2 linked regions of the Coturnix japonica genome follow. The protein of the gene in region 2 purifies or fractionates together with the protein of the main gene of each other region. This does not show direct contact. Links are inferred from orthologs where the notes say so. Each region holds a gene or a part of one and is shown on either strand. Other genes may lie near its edges.

Region 1 (8,512 bases), on a different chromosome or scaffold from region 2:
TGGAAAGAATAAAAAAAAACAAACATATTTTTAATATATATCAAATTCCTTCTTTCCTTCTCAGTGGAGGCTCCAGGCAAAGTTCCCAACATCTGACAGCTAAGCAGTACGTGCGCTACAACACTGCAAAGAGCTGCAAGCAGGGAACTTGAGTAATGCTGTGGAAACGTGATTTGAGATAAGTGTGGAGTACACACTCATCCACACTGTTTGCTGCTCTTGAATGGCTCCATATTACCTCTCACAAATGGTGCGAGCTGAATATATTTATTTCTGATTAACTGAACTGGAATACTTAGGTTTCCTTAGAATATAAAGGTTCTTTTGCACTGAACATGCCAAGCAGCCAAATCTTGGCAAGCAGACTATGGTCACTAATAATCTGAACACTTCACAGCTTGGCTCTTTGAAAAAGCATTGTAATTAACTCTGCTGAAAGGTTTCACATCCTTGTGTTATTAATGCTGTGTGTGTTCAAAAGGATCACGCATATGTGATCCACATTGTTCCTATGTAGAAGCTGCCTTGTGCAAAGCTCTACAACTTACAGTCTCTGTAGAGTGCAATCTAAATGTGGAGAATTTGCAATCTGTAACACATGGAAGCCTAGAAGATGCCTGTTCTTTGGAGAATGCAAGTATTACCCTAACTTCCAGTGTTCTACAGTAAAATACTTATCAGCTTTCGCACTCCAAAATCCTTTCTGCGTGACAGCACAGTGAACCATATGTAGATGAAGATTCCAGTAGTTACACTTAATATGTAGTTTACCCGTTCAATCCCTTTTCAAAGAGAATTTGGATTTTTCACCAGATTACAGCTAAAGATTATAAAATGTCTTCATCTTTTGCATTTGTACTTATTGTAATTATCTTCCATCTACTCCTTAATCAAGTATGTATTAATTTGCCTATGTAACCATATCAGGAATTGTCTGCACAGAAACTTACTGGATTCCTAACTCATTTTTGAATGCCAGCAACCATAGCAAGTTCAGTATTGCAGCCACAGCAAATGTGCAAGTAAATTATGAACAGCAGATCGTTGACAAAAAAGAAAAGTAGTGATCCCAGGCGGCAAGCCAGCATCCTTGCAAAGGGAAGCTCATGCAACACTAGCAGGTATGAGGAAGCTTTGAATCCTTAGACCCAGATGTCATTGCCAAGGGAAAACAAAGCTTAGCTGCAATTTAACAGTGCTTTGTGCAAGGTGACAAAATAGTAAACCAATAAAACAAAAAGTGTACAATAAAAAAAGCACAATTCTGGAAATTTTTTATACAATGTACAATTTTGAGGAATTTTTTAAAATCCAGACTAGGCAAAGATACTTACTCATTGACTTCATACACAAACCGTTTTACGATTGTCAATAGCAAGACTCTGACAAACATCTGTAAGAGCAGGGAAACTGTAAAAGCTAGAAATCTGGGCTTTGTTAATGATACTAAACTTACATTTAGATGTAAGTTGGTCTAGAGTGGTTCATGTTTGAGGAAAGATTCCCATAAAAAGCAAACAGATCTACCTAATGCTTTCTATGACTCTCAGTCCATCCAGTAGCTGAAAACAATCATGTATAAACATCTCATTCCTGCAATGAAGTAACTCAAATATTGAAAACTGAGACTTCTGCTATCTTATCTTTCCACAAAGTTGCACTGGGAATATTAGAAAGCAGCTTTCTGACTAGCTAAGCTGCCCTCTGTCCTCTCTCCCCTTTCAGGTTCACTCTCTTTTAAAACACCAAATACAATCTGTATAGATTTGGCTACAGTATCATGCAGTTGGGACTAATTGTCCACAGAACCCTTACATCCAGCGTCACTAGAAAGACAGAACTCTTGTTGTCTTCGCCAGGTCCGTATTGCTCTGCATTTAACTGTATTTGGTTGTATTATCAAGCTGTTTCAAAAGGCCCATGGTTACAAAGGCCCATCAGGTACGGCAGTTTGCCTTTACTCTTCAACAGGTAAAAATGAAATTTGTTTCATTCACAAATACTATCTTGCATTACTTGTCAAATACTTAGATTACTGATGAACTTTCATAGATCAAAGCTCTACAAATAATAATATTCAAAATGTGTTCTTCCTTTGAAATGTCACACGGGGTAATTCATTTTCAAACTTGTTTTAAAATAAAAAAGGGTCAGGAAACATTTAAGCAAAAGGAACTGTCAATATTGACATACAAGGAAGCACTGAATATTTGCATTTCATTTGCTTTGGCTTTAAGGTCACCATTTCTAAGAGACTTGTGAGATCAGCAGTGTTCTCATATCAGTGGTTTGCTTCCAACCAAACCAGCAGGCATTAACCCAGCTCTGCGCTTTTTGTTTCACAGGACTCAGGTTCATCTAAACCTTTGCTGAGAAACACTGATGTTTGGTAAAAACAAAATCTGCAACTGAATGCATTAATTTTCAGGTGACAAAGCGGAAGAAAATTAACTGCAGGTAAGTTAAAATTGCACAGATGATTTTGCATTAGGTTTCAATAGTTAGAAATAGCAAAACCATCACCACGATAAGCATTCTGGTAGCGTGATGTGTTTTTTCTAGTCTGAAATATAATGCTTCATACTGTTGAATTTTATGCTCTGCCTAATGCTACTTCAGAGTATTTATACTCCTTGTAGATCTTCATATATGCTTTTAGGACAGTATGAATGTTATTTTAACAGCAGACTACAAGTTCTTTCAGTACATTCAACACCTGATTTATTAAAAAAAAAAAAAAAAGAAAAAAAGCAGCATTTCAGACAGATGTGATTAAAATCCAGATTAGCACCTCTAGTGTGGCATGCAGTGTTTCTCTGTGCCATGAAACTGGACAACAGTTCAGTGCCATCACTTAATTCTGACATATCCAATCCACTCAAACGTCAGGAAGGTACTTACTGGCTGAGGCTTGAGGTTGAATGCGAGGTATTCCTCCATTTGGCACTTGGAAGTTTGAGTCGCTTCTGCTGTTTTTCACAGACTCAGCTTGGATGTTGGATGTCCTGGACAGGTTTGGAAGACTACGCCTTAGTTTTTCTGTGTGAAACAACACAAAGATATCACTAAGTGTAGCCCAAGGCCTGACCGAGTTCATGTTGTTAACCAATACCTGAACCCAAAATCTACGTTACACAAAAAGTTAGCTATATATAACTAATTAAAATGCATACTGTGCTACATAACAGCTCTTTGATCATACTGAGATGAAGTTTTATATTTATATATAAAAAATGAAGAGTATTATACAGTTTTCACTTGTGGCAAAAAAGTAAAAATCAAAAATGGGGTATTCTGAAATTGAAACATGTCTGAATTATAATTCCTTGGGTTCTGTTCCTGCATTACAGCAACTGAATACACAAATCTGTCATCCAGTGTTGCACACTTTCTGAAGCCTTTGTCTAGAAAACTATATTACACAAGGCTTGCCATAAGATAAAAACAGTGATTTTTGTAGCAATGTTTGTCACCACTCAGTCCCATATCAGCATGCTATGTAACAAACTGGTACTCACCTGGAAAGCAACTTACACAGCATTCAAAATTACAAAGTGTTATGAATCTTTCACATATGGCTGGAGTACTAATTCAGCTAATATTGATTCTTTAAGGAGCTTAAAAATTGGTACAATTTCTCACAGAAGGCAAAAAGATGCCATTAAAGTCTTGTGTTGTTTTGCTTACGTCCAACTCGCACAGAGCTGGGTTGATGACACTACAGGACAGAAGAGCACAGCTGACAAAGCGCAATGAATGTCCAACCTAATTATGAAGAGCGATGCAGGGAAGAAGTATTCTCTAACCAAGCACTAATGAAAATGAAAGCAAGCATCTTTATAGGGTGAATATTCTTACAAGTTAGCACTGCAGTCTGTACGTTCCTGAACATCCAGATTTTCTATCACCCTTTCTAGAGCAGGAAAAAAAAAAAATCCCAAACAACATTTTTGGCTCTGATTATCCAAGCAATGTGCAACCAAAGTCTTTTACAGGAATTACAGAACTACTTCAGCTACATGTGTAATGAATTTGAGATGGAGCTTATTACCTTCACTTTTGACATTACTGGTCTGCATATCTGTAGGATGGCCTTGAAGTGAAAGACGAGGTTGCTGTAAACGGCTAATCATAGGTTGGGGTGACACTCTACTGTATTCTATACTTCGAGCAGGTGATCGGGAACGAGGAGAATTCCTTGGAGACTGTTTTGGTGAAGGCCAGGGAGAACTACGAGGTGACGGTGAGAACCTGCTGACAGCAGGATGCACTGTGTGATGTGTGCCATCTTCTTCATCCTCTAAACTCTGTGCATCAAGCTCCTGGTCGCTGAATGTGCCTCGCCTCGTGGAATTGCAAGAAGAACCAGAACTACGCCGAGACGCTGATGCTGCATACTCTTGCCGGAGGCCTGGTAACAGTGAGTACAGCGTCACTTTTTATCAGCCCACATATGGTGCAGGCTAGAAATCACACAACTACCCACCCAGTGCTCAAGCTAACATTTGGTTCATCTTCCCTCTTTTTATTTGAGACATAAAATTAATTCCAGATTAATATTAAACAAGGTTGTCTAACAGCTGAGTAAGTAGATGAGTTTTTCCTTTTCATACTACAACAGTCATTAATATAGCTGTGCTGTCTACTTGTTCATCTCCTCTCCCAGGCTGGAAACTCACAACACAGGCCACAACTTTAATCTGGTTATCATGTACCACCCTGTAAGAATTACAGAAGCTAGAATGAAATGCCTCTTGAGGGACATTAGTAAATACAACAGAAAGCTACCCATAGAGGATCTAGAGTTCAGTTAGACCAGCCATCTCCAAAGCTGGGAGCACTTACCCAAGGGGTACACAGAACAGTTCAGTGTGATAAAGGGAAGAACATTTTTGGTAATGTTAAGAGATAAAGTAATGCTTGTAATTACTGTTTGCTTCACTTTTTCTTTTAAAATTTATACTTTTGTACATGCTTTACCATGCTTTAGCAGGGCAGGAGTACATGTACGTAATGGTATACATTTCCTTTCCTTATCCAGGAGACAGAAATCTTTAGATAGTCTTCTCAGGAAAACTACATTTGTATATCCTTGATAGAGCAAAGGGATTTGCTCTGTCATTCGGGGGTTGTACTCGATGATCTCTAGAGGTCCCTTCTAACCCCTACAATTCTGTGATTCTTGCTAAGGAAGCTCTGCTGCAGTTATTTAATTTAAAAAAGATCAGCTATCCCACTTGGTTTTCAAGATGCATAATACTTACTTTCTTCCTGCATTCGTGCTAAAATTTGCACATCTGTAACATCATTTAGCTTGTAATTAGATCCAATAGAGTCTTCATCCATCTCTGATGCACTTAATTCACTGTCCACAGAGGACTGTGGACTTAGTGGAGGATTCCTATCAGCTGAGCTTTTAAGATGACCTGTAGAAAGAACATAATGTAATAGGAGATGTTTGAAAGAAAAGGAAGAGAAAATTCATATCCTGATAAAAGAACCAACCATCTGAAAACAGATGATGACTTCAAATATTGAGACAAACATTTGAAATATCTGACTGCAAATCTATGCTGAAAACGAGTAACTTTATAAAAATTGCCATAATGGTGAGAGATTAAATTAATGACAGAAATTTGGTCCCTTTGTACCAAGGTTTCAATTGCTATGACATTTGTACAGCTCATACAGAAAGAGCACTGCATGCCTGTCCCATTTAGGTCTATGTTATTCTACACACCATGACGGCTGCTCTGAAAGTAATGCCTTTTATTTGATTATGTTGGCCTGTAATCAGTGGTGGATGTTAGTGGTATGGCAGTAGAGGCTGAACCTTCTTGCCAATATTCCATTACATGTTGTTGCTGTGTGACAGACGGCAGCAGGACTGTAGCACATAACAAAGACCAGAGTTAGATAGATGAAAACAGAACTTCAGCAATGTCTCTGGTGAATACATTGCAGTGCAGGATTCTCTTTATAAGTCCACAGCAAACTACGGACAGTGGAACTTAAAATTAAATGTTCTTTCTCTTCCCTGCAAACTAACTTGAGCTGATGTAAATGCAATGAGCCAACATTCTGACTTCAGTGTAGAGAGATGTTTCATACATCAGTTTTTCTAAAGCAAAGAAAATGCCTATGGAGCAGAATAGAGGCAGAAAAGGCTGCCAGAAGTTACTGTTTATACTGATGTCTGCAGAGCCTTAAGGAATATCTTCAATTGCAATACACGCTTCTTTCTTAGATTACATAGTTCATACTGCAGCTGTGCTCAGGGATATGATTTAGCAGAGGGTTTTTAGAGTTAGGGTACTATGGTTAGGCTGCGGTTGGACTTGATCTTCAAGGTCTTTTCCAACCTGGGTAATTCTGTGATTCTATGATGATATACCAAATGTTTCAATAATAAATAATACTGTAATTGCATAGACTATACAAGCCACCAACAGGTAACGTCTAAAGGTACTACATATGGTCAATTCCAGAAGCTTCTTAAGTGTGTGGGGACTTCACAGAAGCTGTAGTACAAGTTTTGGGCTAACTGTTAAAATGTAACCAGTTATCTTAGGTACATGGGTATCCCAAAGAAAACCTGGTAAATCTATCTCACACCAAAAGGTAGGCGTATAAAAAATGCCTTTCCTAAAAAGCTTAAATACCACATGATGCAAACTTCCTACAAAAAAACAACAACCAAGCACTGATGAGTTGTGGTGTCCTTCTTATTCTAGGCTCCATGAAAATGTAGAAGTATTTGAAAATGTATTTCTGGAAGAAAGGAAGAGGGGGAAGGAAAGGACCCCCCAAACACACACACTTACCTGAGGTACCCGGAGGTATGAACTGTTTCGCTAATGCAGATTTCACTGGTGTTGAGGAGGGGGAGTTGAAACCACTACTGTAGGGGCTACTGGTATTCGGACTATAGGAGCTGGCATAGCTGACTGCACTGAAAGGGCTATTGTACAAACTCTGTCTCTTCATGGCTGTACAAAAGAGGAGGAAAATGACCAATTATAATACAGAAAAAAGCAAAAAAATGAATATAATGCTATGGTAACTTCAGTGTGATTTAATTGCTATACAATTCAAGCAAAGCACTTAAGTCAGCAGGGATTTTTTTCAGCTCATTTCTTAGTCTCCTAGGTACTAAACCTAACACAAGAGAGCTACAAGATAAGGTAACAAGCACTTTCTTAGTAAGTGCCAAGTCCACCACCTTCCTGGGCAGCCCATTCCACTGCCTGACCACTCTTTTGGAACAGTAGTATTTCCTAATGTCCATAGGAAATATAAACATCCATATAATGTAATTTATATACCTGCTTAAAAGTTGCATTCAGTTTTCATTTCAAAATAATAGAAAATAGAACTTTGAGGGGAACTAAAGGGGGTGGGAACCAAAGGAAATATGATCAGTTTTGCTAAGTTTCTTCATTGCTGAAAGTGCTTTATGCCAAACTGACTAAAGAATTGTATTTAGATTAGTAGTCAGCAGCTCAGTGAGCTGCAAATTAAACTGTTTAAGGCGTGACAGTTTTGAAACCGTGCATTTACAGATTACAAACTGGCAAGAACAGGCCTGACACATGTGTGGCAATGGACTCAAACAGGTTCTAGGGGAAAAAAATGAAGAAAAAAAAAAAAAGCAGAAAAAAAAAAGTCGTAGATGAAAAGATAAAAATTCCTGAATTCCATTCTGCCATGTCAAGCAGTTTGACATTCACTTGGTTTACTAAAAATTCCTTTATTCTGCTGGGTTTTATTTATTTATTTATTATTTTTAACATTAAATGAAGCCAAATAGGAACAGCTGTATGAAATGCTGCCTTCAGCAGCAAGGCCTGCTTCAGCTCCTCCTCCAACCCTACTCTGCTCTTGGTCACTACTTCCTCACTCACTCAATACAAGCAATGGAGTAGTTGCACTGTTACCCAGACTACTAAAGCAGTGTCAATAATAAGTGATCTCATCAGAGAACCAGTTCTTAGTGGCACCCTTGAGGGACTGTGTTACCACAACCAAATGACTAGCAGAGTGAAGCAGAGGAAGAAATGGCAGGAATTAAAGCCGGCCTCACAGCAAGTTTCTTACACTGCCCTGCTTTCACTTTCATTATTTGAGCCCGAAAGTGAAAGCTATGTGCTAATATTTCACCAGCAGTGAACTCCATGAATTTCAGTCAATATTCTTGAGTTGTAAGTATTTATGACTTGCATATTTCTTCAGATGAAAGCAAGTTATACAGATAAGTACTGCATTTTTTCCCCCACAAAAAAAAAAAAAAAAAAAAAAAAGCAACAAACAAACCAACCAAAACAACTGGATTCAAGCAATTTTTCCTGGTATAGAATTCCAATAGGGATTTCTATAGCATTGGAAGGCATGAAGTGTTTTTCAACAATGCAAAATACAGCCCTTCTTAGGAGTGATGGTGTTAGTCAGTTGGATGAATTTTAACGTCAAAAAGATTCTCTATTAGATAAAACATCAGCTTTGAGTGCATCAT
Region 2 (8,512 bases):
TTACTTCAAAACTTTTAATCCAACCCATTGCCTAAATCTGTTTTTGCCAAGAAGGGATAAAATAAAGTATCCCTAGACTGAAATTTATGACTTTTTTTTTTCTTTAAATAAATCAGAATAAATAGAATCTCCTTTGTCTATCCTTGGAGGCAAACTGCAATAAAAGCATTAGTCATTTTGCCACTTGTAGAACGTAGATAATTATAGTAAGCCTGGGTCATCCTCACAAAAAATAACACGTGCTAAAATGTGTGCAATTGAAAGAACACAGAAAAGGTTTCCTCAGCCAACCTTCCCTATATGTTGTTGAACTTAACACAGTACATTTTTCAACCACCGTTGAAGGATATCACATTTTTTTTTAAGATACCCATCCAAATAGTAAACTGCTACAGTTGAAATAAGTCACATCAGAAGCCACAGAATACCAATTGAGGACCGTTTTTCTTTCTTGAGAGCTCCAAATTAAACTTTCTAGTCACACTTCTGTTTCTGTTCAGTTAAGTACTGCATGAAAAAGCTAGTAAAAACCAGCTAGTAAGAAACAGAAAGTTGCATATCTAAGCTCTAAAAATTCAACTGCTGGAAGCTTTATTACAAGTCTCACTTTATGAGAAATGTGAGGTAATAAAGCATGCAAAAGAGACTCCAGTATTGGAAGTAACAATCATAGAATACAAACAAATGAATGGCACAAGCTTGTTTTTACATCACAGTTGAAATAAGGGGCATACTAGACAAAGGGGCTATCGAGAATGAGAACTTGGTGTCTACTGTTCTTCTAATTCTTGTAACAGCACAAGGAATAAAAAAAACTTCAGCATAAAACAAAAAACACTGGAAGCGTTATGTACTCAAACTACACACCTAGGAACAATACATAAAACCTTGCTATCAAATGCAGAAACTGTGGAAGCATAATTCTAAATTGGAAGACTAATAGAGCTCCATGAAATAAACTGATCTAGAGATCTAAAGCATAATAAAACACTACATATAAAGAAGGTATGTCTTATAAATACAGTTGGTAGGAAGATATTGAGAAAGGTTACACCATTTTCTAATTATACCATACTGTTAAACAGATAAGAATTTAAACCAGGTAAAATATGCTTTTAAAAGTAGGACACTTAGCAGAACCTAAAATAAATCATTGCTTACAGCACTCATTTAGTGCAAGAAGAACCATTTAGGCACATACTTCAGCAAATTCACTACCAAACATCCAGCATAAAGGTATCCTTCATCTGTATTACAGTGTTTTCACACGAGCTACTTTTTTATTATTATTTTTGCAGGAAAAGGTTTTCTGGCCTCACTGATACCAAAGTTATCAGCAGGAAATTGACTTAATGAAACAAACACAACCAAATTCTGTGATTCTAATCCTGAAACCCAATACCCTATCTTAAATAAGCTTTTGGTTTTTAGAGATTATTATCAGCTTCTGTTCTTAACAGAGAAATTTCTATATGGACAATGGAAATTGACACGGACAGCTCTTAAAAATAAACATAGGGGTAATGAGCATTTAAAAAAGACCAAAGCAACAATATAGTCAACCAAAGGTGCACACATCAGCAAGGAAAAACTTGAAACAATCCACCACCACCAGCAAAAAAAAAATAGAACGAATTTCAACTTTCCTATCACTGAACTTAGCTATTCAGAAGAGTTGTGATATTCTCACAACTGTTATCACCATAAAAATAATCAGTTCAGTAAAAACAGCCTGCTAAAAAAAACAAGAGATGGATAAATGTACTACTGCAGTGAGAGGAAAAAGCAACAACAAAACAAGTGCCATAGTCCCAAACATAAAAGCTTACCTTAGTGCTTTCCTCAGTGTCTCTATACATGCAACTATGATTTTTGGGTTCTTGTTGTCGAGACCTTTTAGCAATTCTTCCTGTACTGCCTCCCCTTTCTCAATTTCTATATACATTAGACATATATCTACACCCAGCTCCTTTGCTCTGGCTTTTGGCTGATTGAATACTTTATTTACAACTCCAGAAGCTACTTCTCCCGTTGTCCTGAAAGGCAAGAGAAAGTTCCCTTTAGAAAACTTAAGTGAACTGGTTATTTACCATCATTAGCCACAGCAGAAGCACACACATCATCTAAAACATTGACAAGAACTCAGTCTTAAAGACTAAATTCTAAGTTAACTTTGAAGGTTATAACCTTCTGTAAAAGGTGATTTTTACCCGCTAGTTTAATCAATAGAACTCCTTCACACTGAGTACTATTTGGCATGTTCCTAATACCAGACTACACCAGATTAGGAACACAAGACCCTATATCAAAAAGGTCTCTATTAGCATACATTAATTCATCATCTCCAGGAATTGCATACAGTATAGTAACATATAATACCAGTGTACAAACAGTTTGCTGGGATTATGCCAAAGTTCCCAATACACTCAACAATTCACACCACTTGTGAACTAAGGGGTCTGGAAATGCTGTTAGGATTCTCAAATAAGCTTCTAATTTATTTGTTTTTAAATGCTTATTTTTTATTTTTTTTAAACATCAAGTCACTTAAGGCCAGTATATCTAAGCACGGATCAGGTCAATTAAGAGCTGCCATTTCACCCCCAGGAGAACACATTATTTCATGGGGCTAGATAACGCTAATAGTAGCAACATCCTGTGAAGAAGTAGGTGAGTATGCAGATTTAGATGGATTAAATTGCACACAGCACCACAAACATAAGTACATTTTATGCAACAAATAAATTACATGAATATCTCCCAGGAAAGATGTTCCCTGTATATACTGCTCCAGCCAAGCAAGAGGAGGGCTGCCAGCTCACAACACCAATTCACTGTTTTGCTTCTCTACCATTTCCAAAATCTGTACCACCCTCTTTACCTTCAACATCATTAAGCATTATGTAAGCAACTTCTGATAAACTAACAGGTACGTGGAAACCATCTACAAACCTACTACTCTGAAAGTTTTATAAGTCAGAAAGCAACTTGTTCTCAACATTTAATACTGTAACTTCACAACTCCCGCACATTTTATCTACAGACTTTCTCATAGAGGGACATAGAACTCTTAACTAATAAAGGAAAGGCTACTTACTTCCCAGCTACGTGAGCATTTTCAACATAAGCAAGTGCTGCTTCCAGTCCTTTCAATTGTGCCACTGCATTGGAGTCCGTCACAAATTTCTTTACCAATCCAAGGTATTTTGACCACTCAGGACTCTTCTCATCATCAATCTTCTGGAAGAGCTTAAGGGCTTCTTCGTAGCCATTTAGTCTGGCTTTCCACAGCTGGAAGAAGTAGTCAAACATTTAAGTGCCATGCTAATACAGACTTCAACTCACCAGTCTCACAAAGTACTTCAATCATAGCTGTAAGTGCACTCAGCAAGCTGGCATCTGCAAGATTTCCCTCCAGTAACAATTAGAACACTGTGCAAAATACCCACTGCTTTCCTGTCAACAACCACCCAGAAAGAGGTATGTCATTATTCTCCACTGTTCTCCACCAGCTCTAGCAACCACCTCTGGTGAGTAGGTGTGCGCCCATCAGTACTTTCAGCTACAGATGAGTAATATATCCACATGAGCAAGCCTACTGATCTTCTAGCTCACAAACTTATGCCATCCAGGTTATCACGCAACTGAACCCTGCTTAATGAGCATTACTTGAGTGTTTCAGACCTTTTACCATGCTATAAAAATTATCCAACTTTGATATAATTAGGTACAGGAGTATCATAGAAATATCACAGCACAGACACACAGCAAGCCAAACCCAAAGACCAAAAGTATATCCTACCTTGTGTTCACACTTTTGATCGATGGGTAATTTCATCCACTCACTGTCATCCCCCATTGTAATTCAGGTTCTCTTCACAGTTACAGCAATTCCTGAGGACACAGAGGTACATTAGAACACACATACAAAATATAAGCAAGGTACTACTTGCAACACATCTCAAAAAATTAGATAAAAAAATAAAGACAGCTCTAAAGCACGTCTTGTATTTAATGTGAAACCCACTCTTTCAAGCCTGCAGTTGTATTTACATACAACCTACTAAGACTAGGCTGCAACTCTCTCCACTCTGGAAGGCTAACAGAAGCCACTGAAGAGTAGTTCCATTTGTAATACTTCCAACACCACAATTTTCCATCTGGTAAAGTCTCAGTAAGCTGACACGAGGCACACAGTATACAGCTTTGTCTAAGCTTGAGGAAGAACGTATGCAATAAAGGATCTAAGAAGAAATGAGTATTGATGACCACTAGAAAACTGATGCTTACTGATGTGCTTTCTACAGCAGGTGCTATGCATCAGGGTTGAAAAACAATCACATTAGTGTGAGGACAGCTGTTTTAATAACTTCACAAACGGAGCAGTTAAAATGAACAGTATTACAAGACTAACAAAATCCATTTCTGCCAGATAGCCACTTTATGCCCTAATTCTAACAATAGCCAGAATTGGCAACTGTCATCCCGAGACCAGTTTCTTACTTCACGTAGGCTCGACTATTACTTGTTCAAGGTCATAGAAGCGTTTTCTCCCTCCCACTTCATTAAAATAGTAATATTGACCACTAGGGCATGAGAGATGAGACCTCAGGCTCAATGATCATCTCAGACATGCAAGTCTCAGCAGCACTGAGACAGCTCACAACTCCACAGAAGCAAATGAAATCAGAGCAGGTAAGGAGTAACACATTCCAGCACAGTATTTCACATACATACACAACAGAGTTAGATTTCAAGAACTAGTGGCCATCATCATCCAATAATTTATCCCACTAGATGTATAAATACTCAATGCTAACATAATATGTATAATGTACATTCAGCCAATGCCAGTAAAACTGCATTCTTTTTAGATAAAAGCATTTCATATATGAAGTACATACAGAGGTTCTCTGCAGAAAAATAAATCCTAGAATTAGGAGTATCATTTCATGGGTGTAAGTTAACACAAGCAAGTCCTCCAAAGCTATCTGTCAGCCACTAACAGCTGATTCAATAGGGAAAGCAGGCTAGCAATAGTCCACAAGCAAAAATGAAGCTCCCTTTATGTTAAAAGCTCTCTTAATAGCTCACCTAGTCAAGGATGCAGGAATGCCCTAGTGTGAATGCAGCTGCAACAACAGACTTTATCAATCAAGTCGGCCTGGCAGCTAAGAAATACCAGCAAAGCTGTGTCCCGTGTAATATAAGTTACATTTGTGTTAGAAATAATTAATGTACCAGTATAGAACTTAATGTACCAGCATAGAAATCACTGGAGGACCTCACCAGTGCAGAAGCAAGTCAAAAAACAGGCACAATGCTTTCCCCCAATCTCACACAAGCCCTTGTCAGGAATAACTTCTTACTAAGATTACTCTGTTTAAGTCATTTTCAAACCTAATCACAAATTCGGAGGCAACATTCAAGCTGTTCCTGGCTGTATCCTTTTCTTGAGGAAAGCATAAGGAATCAACAGAAGGAAAAGAATTACCACAGATAAAGCAGGAAAAGGAGTAAGGCAGTATAAGCAGTAAAAAAGAGCATTTCCTTTGCTCCAGAAATCTGCTCTAACAAGAAGAATCTTATTGCAGGATAGTGACAACCTCCCCACAGCCCCCAGCTCAAACACTGACATCAGATACATCACAGATTTCCAAGTGCTTTTTACTTCTACATTCAGACAACATTCATGCTCCAAAGTGTGACCCCTGACATGCACATCCCACTGCTACAGCACACAAAGGAGAAGAGGATCCTGGATTTTCCTTCCCAGCACCATGAGGTACTTTTACATGGGGGGACAGGGAGGGCAAAACTGCCACGCTCTTGCTTTTTTTCCCTCTAATCTGGTCAAGTCAGTTTCCCAACTATTTCTAGTTGCAAGAGCTACAATCATTACTTCCAATTATAAAATGGGTTCAGTTGCCTCCTGCGCTGAATCTTGCACCTAAAAATAGTAATAAAATTATATGTCCTCTATGACAACTTACAAATCCCTTTGGACCCGGCAGTTTATCAGGAAGTATTTCATGGTCACGGAGGGGGGAGCTCCCTTTTAGATACCTATTCTCTCCATCTTCATCGCTGTTCACACCCGCCCTAATCCTGAACTCCTGAGCTGTCTGCATCACGCCTCCAGCACAGTGACACACTGTAGTTTCTCCCTTCAATTAAGCTCCTGCATTCTGCATGTTCAAATATCCCACGTTTGACAAAAAAAAGGCTTTTTAAAAATGAAGTTTCCTTCCAAAGTCGCGTTCAGCTCTTCTCATTACTTCTCAACACCCAAATAGAGAGCAGGCTCACGCTGCAATAACAGCCAAATTGCATTACAACTAGTGAATCCGCAGCAATGAAGTGTTTGACCTAGATAGCTGACTTGTCAGCACAACTAATTTTACAGACTCCGAACAAACAGATTAATAAGTCTTTGGGTAACAGCACTCATTTTGTTAGCAGCCAGACAACGGGGCCTCTGGAGCAACTGAACCACCAAAATCAGTTTTGTGAGAGAGGCTTGTTATTAAGGCGGTCAATGAAACATTTACAAAAGCGAGTCAGCTGAGCAATCTGCAATGGAGATGAACAACAAATCCTCCCTGACAGTTCTTGGCACAGCAAACTCATGCAATGGAGCAGGAAGAAAGTGAAGACCAGCAAGGAGAGAACGGGATATCTTTCAAAGGGAGACAACGGAAGAGCAGAAAAATATATAGGACAGCGCAACACAAGTTCAAGTGTAAAAGTGAGAATTTGTTAATGAATTGTAGGGGGAAAAAAAAATCATCAATGCATTGATAACGTGTGAAAGGGATGGTAAGGGAATACTTGGATTAAGCACACGCTGCTCTGAAAAGTTCCTTACTCAGCTCCTAAATAAATGCTTTCTGGGCTAAAATTGGGAAGGGCTGAACAGCAGCAACCCTACAGTTTTACTGTACAAGGGCACCACTAAAAAGCCTCTTGACATAAATATCCTGAAACATGTGTGAGTTCAAAGCACATTTATTATGGATTCACTACGTACTGTCATGAAGCTTCACTTTCCAGACCGTTCTCCCATAAGAAGTGGGAATGCAGCGGAGGAAGCCATTTTGTGCTAAACAAAAACCAGATGGTTATTGATACCAATTGTCCACTCATCTCCGCCCGCTTCCATCTATTAAGCATCACTGCTGAGCAAGAATAGCTTTTAAAATACCAAAAGGCTTGATGCCAAAGTGGCCTTCTCAGGAGGTTTACCCAAGAGTGAGCTCTGAACAACTTATTGAAGACAGCCCATTTCCAAGCAGAACTGCATTTGAAATGTTCTTAGAGCGGGTTCTTTCAACATCTTCACACTTCTCATGTGCGTTGAGACAACAGTTCTCCATAGACAGCTCTGTGCCAGGATGGTCCATGTTTTGCTAGCAGAAAGAATTTCTATTTGTTTAACAGCAGTTTGGGGTCTCTGCCTCTCAACATGTGAAGCTTCACTGTCTCAGAAGTTCAGCCCAGCATGTTCTACAGCGCTTGCCAATTAAGCCTTTACATTAATTAAAACTCATTAGCTACAGCATAATGTAGCTCAGAAAAATGCTTAAAATATTCAAGTAATCTCAGCATAGGGGTTTTGTTTGTTTGTTTTAAACACTCAGATGCATTCAGCAGAATATGTGAACTGAAAAAACATGGCCTAATCAACTAACAAAAATAAACAGCGCGGTAAACTGCTTCAGTAAATTAAACATAGGGAGGCTGAAGTCCGGCTAAAACTCCTGAAGTTGAAGAGGTAAAAGCAGGACTCAGAAGACCTTCCAGTCAGGCTGTCAGCAGGCCTCCCAGTTTCAGTCCACCTGTCTTTTGATGACAGACACAGCAACGAGGAGCTCAAAAGCTCATGCAGATGCACCACCACTCAGAGGGCCATCTGATGCTGATGGAATTCCGAAGATTTTAGAAGATGGCACTTTCAATCTCCAGATGTGAAACACATAGGCTCTTGATGACAGGGGGCCCCAGAATAATAAGAAATGCAAGAAACAAAAGGCAAAAAGGAGTTGTTTGCAGGCTGCTGGCTACTTTGTGGGGTAGCTTCTCTGAGCTCCAGCAGCAATGAAATGGCACACAAGAGTAAATGGCACTGCATTCTCTCTCACCTGTCAAAGCTAGCAAGTTATTGACAAGGGGGGTAGCTACGTTCTCTGGAATACGTTCCAATACAGTCCCTGAAAGCAGCTTGAATGCATGGAAATCAGTGGCCTCAAATCAAGAAACACCGCAACATAAACCAGCCTCTTGCTTCCACCGAGGAGCGATTTCTTACTGCACAGGTAAGCCTGGAGAGAAGCCGATCTTATGGTGTAGAGAAGGGTGGGAAGAACAGGGCAGCACAGGGGCACGACTGTGTGCAGGGGCACGGCAGCAGGGCAGCGCCCACTGGCTGCACTGCCCCATCCCTGAAGGAACAGCCCGACATCAGGCGCACAGAAGCCGGCAAGATGTTCCTTAAAAGGAGAGACCGCGCTGC

The links.
Region 1: the proteins of CKAP5 (region 2) and SLAIN2 purify together in Homo sapiens (affinity purification with mass spectrometry; 4 studies listed by BioGRID and IntAct, counting the BioPlex papers as one, with this or other methods). This does not show direct contact. The link is inferred for Coturnix japonica from reciprocal best matches to the Homo sapiens genes CKAP5 and SLAIN2.

What each region holds. Positions count from the first base shown.
Region 1 is NC_029519.1:59,961,546-59,970,057, forward strand, and holds part of SLAIN2 (SLAIN motif-containing protein 2), read right to left. Parts: intron 6,990-8,512; coding exon 6,825-6,989; intron 5,427-6,824; coding exon 5,265-5,426; intron 4,412-5,264; coding exon 4,052-4,411; intron 3,040-4,051; coding exon 2,902-3,039; intron 1,394-2,901; coding exon of another isoform or gene 1,344-1,393; exon of another isoform or gene 1,335-1,343; intron 1-1,334.
Region 2 is NC_029520.1:20,887,859-20,896,370, reverse strand, and holds part of CKAP5 (cytoskeleton-associated protein 5), read right to left. Parts: intron 3,895-8,512; 5' UTR 3,860-3,894; coding exon 3,803-3,859; intron 3,292-3,802; coding exon 3,098-3,291; intron 2,037-3,097; coding exon 1,830-2,036; intron 1-1,829. UniProt on the Homo sapiens protein: Binds to the plus end of microtubules and regulates microtubule dynamics and microtubule organization. Acts as a processive microtubule polymerase. Promotes cytoplasmic microtubule nucleation and elongation. Plays a major role in organizing spindle poles.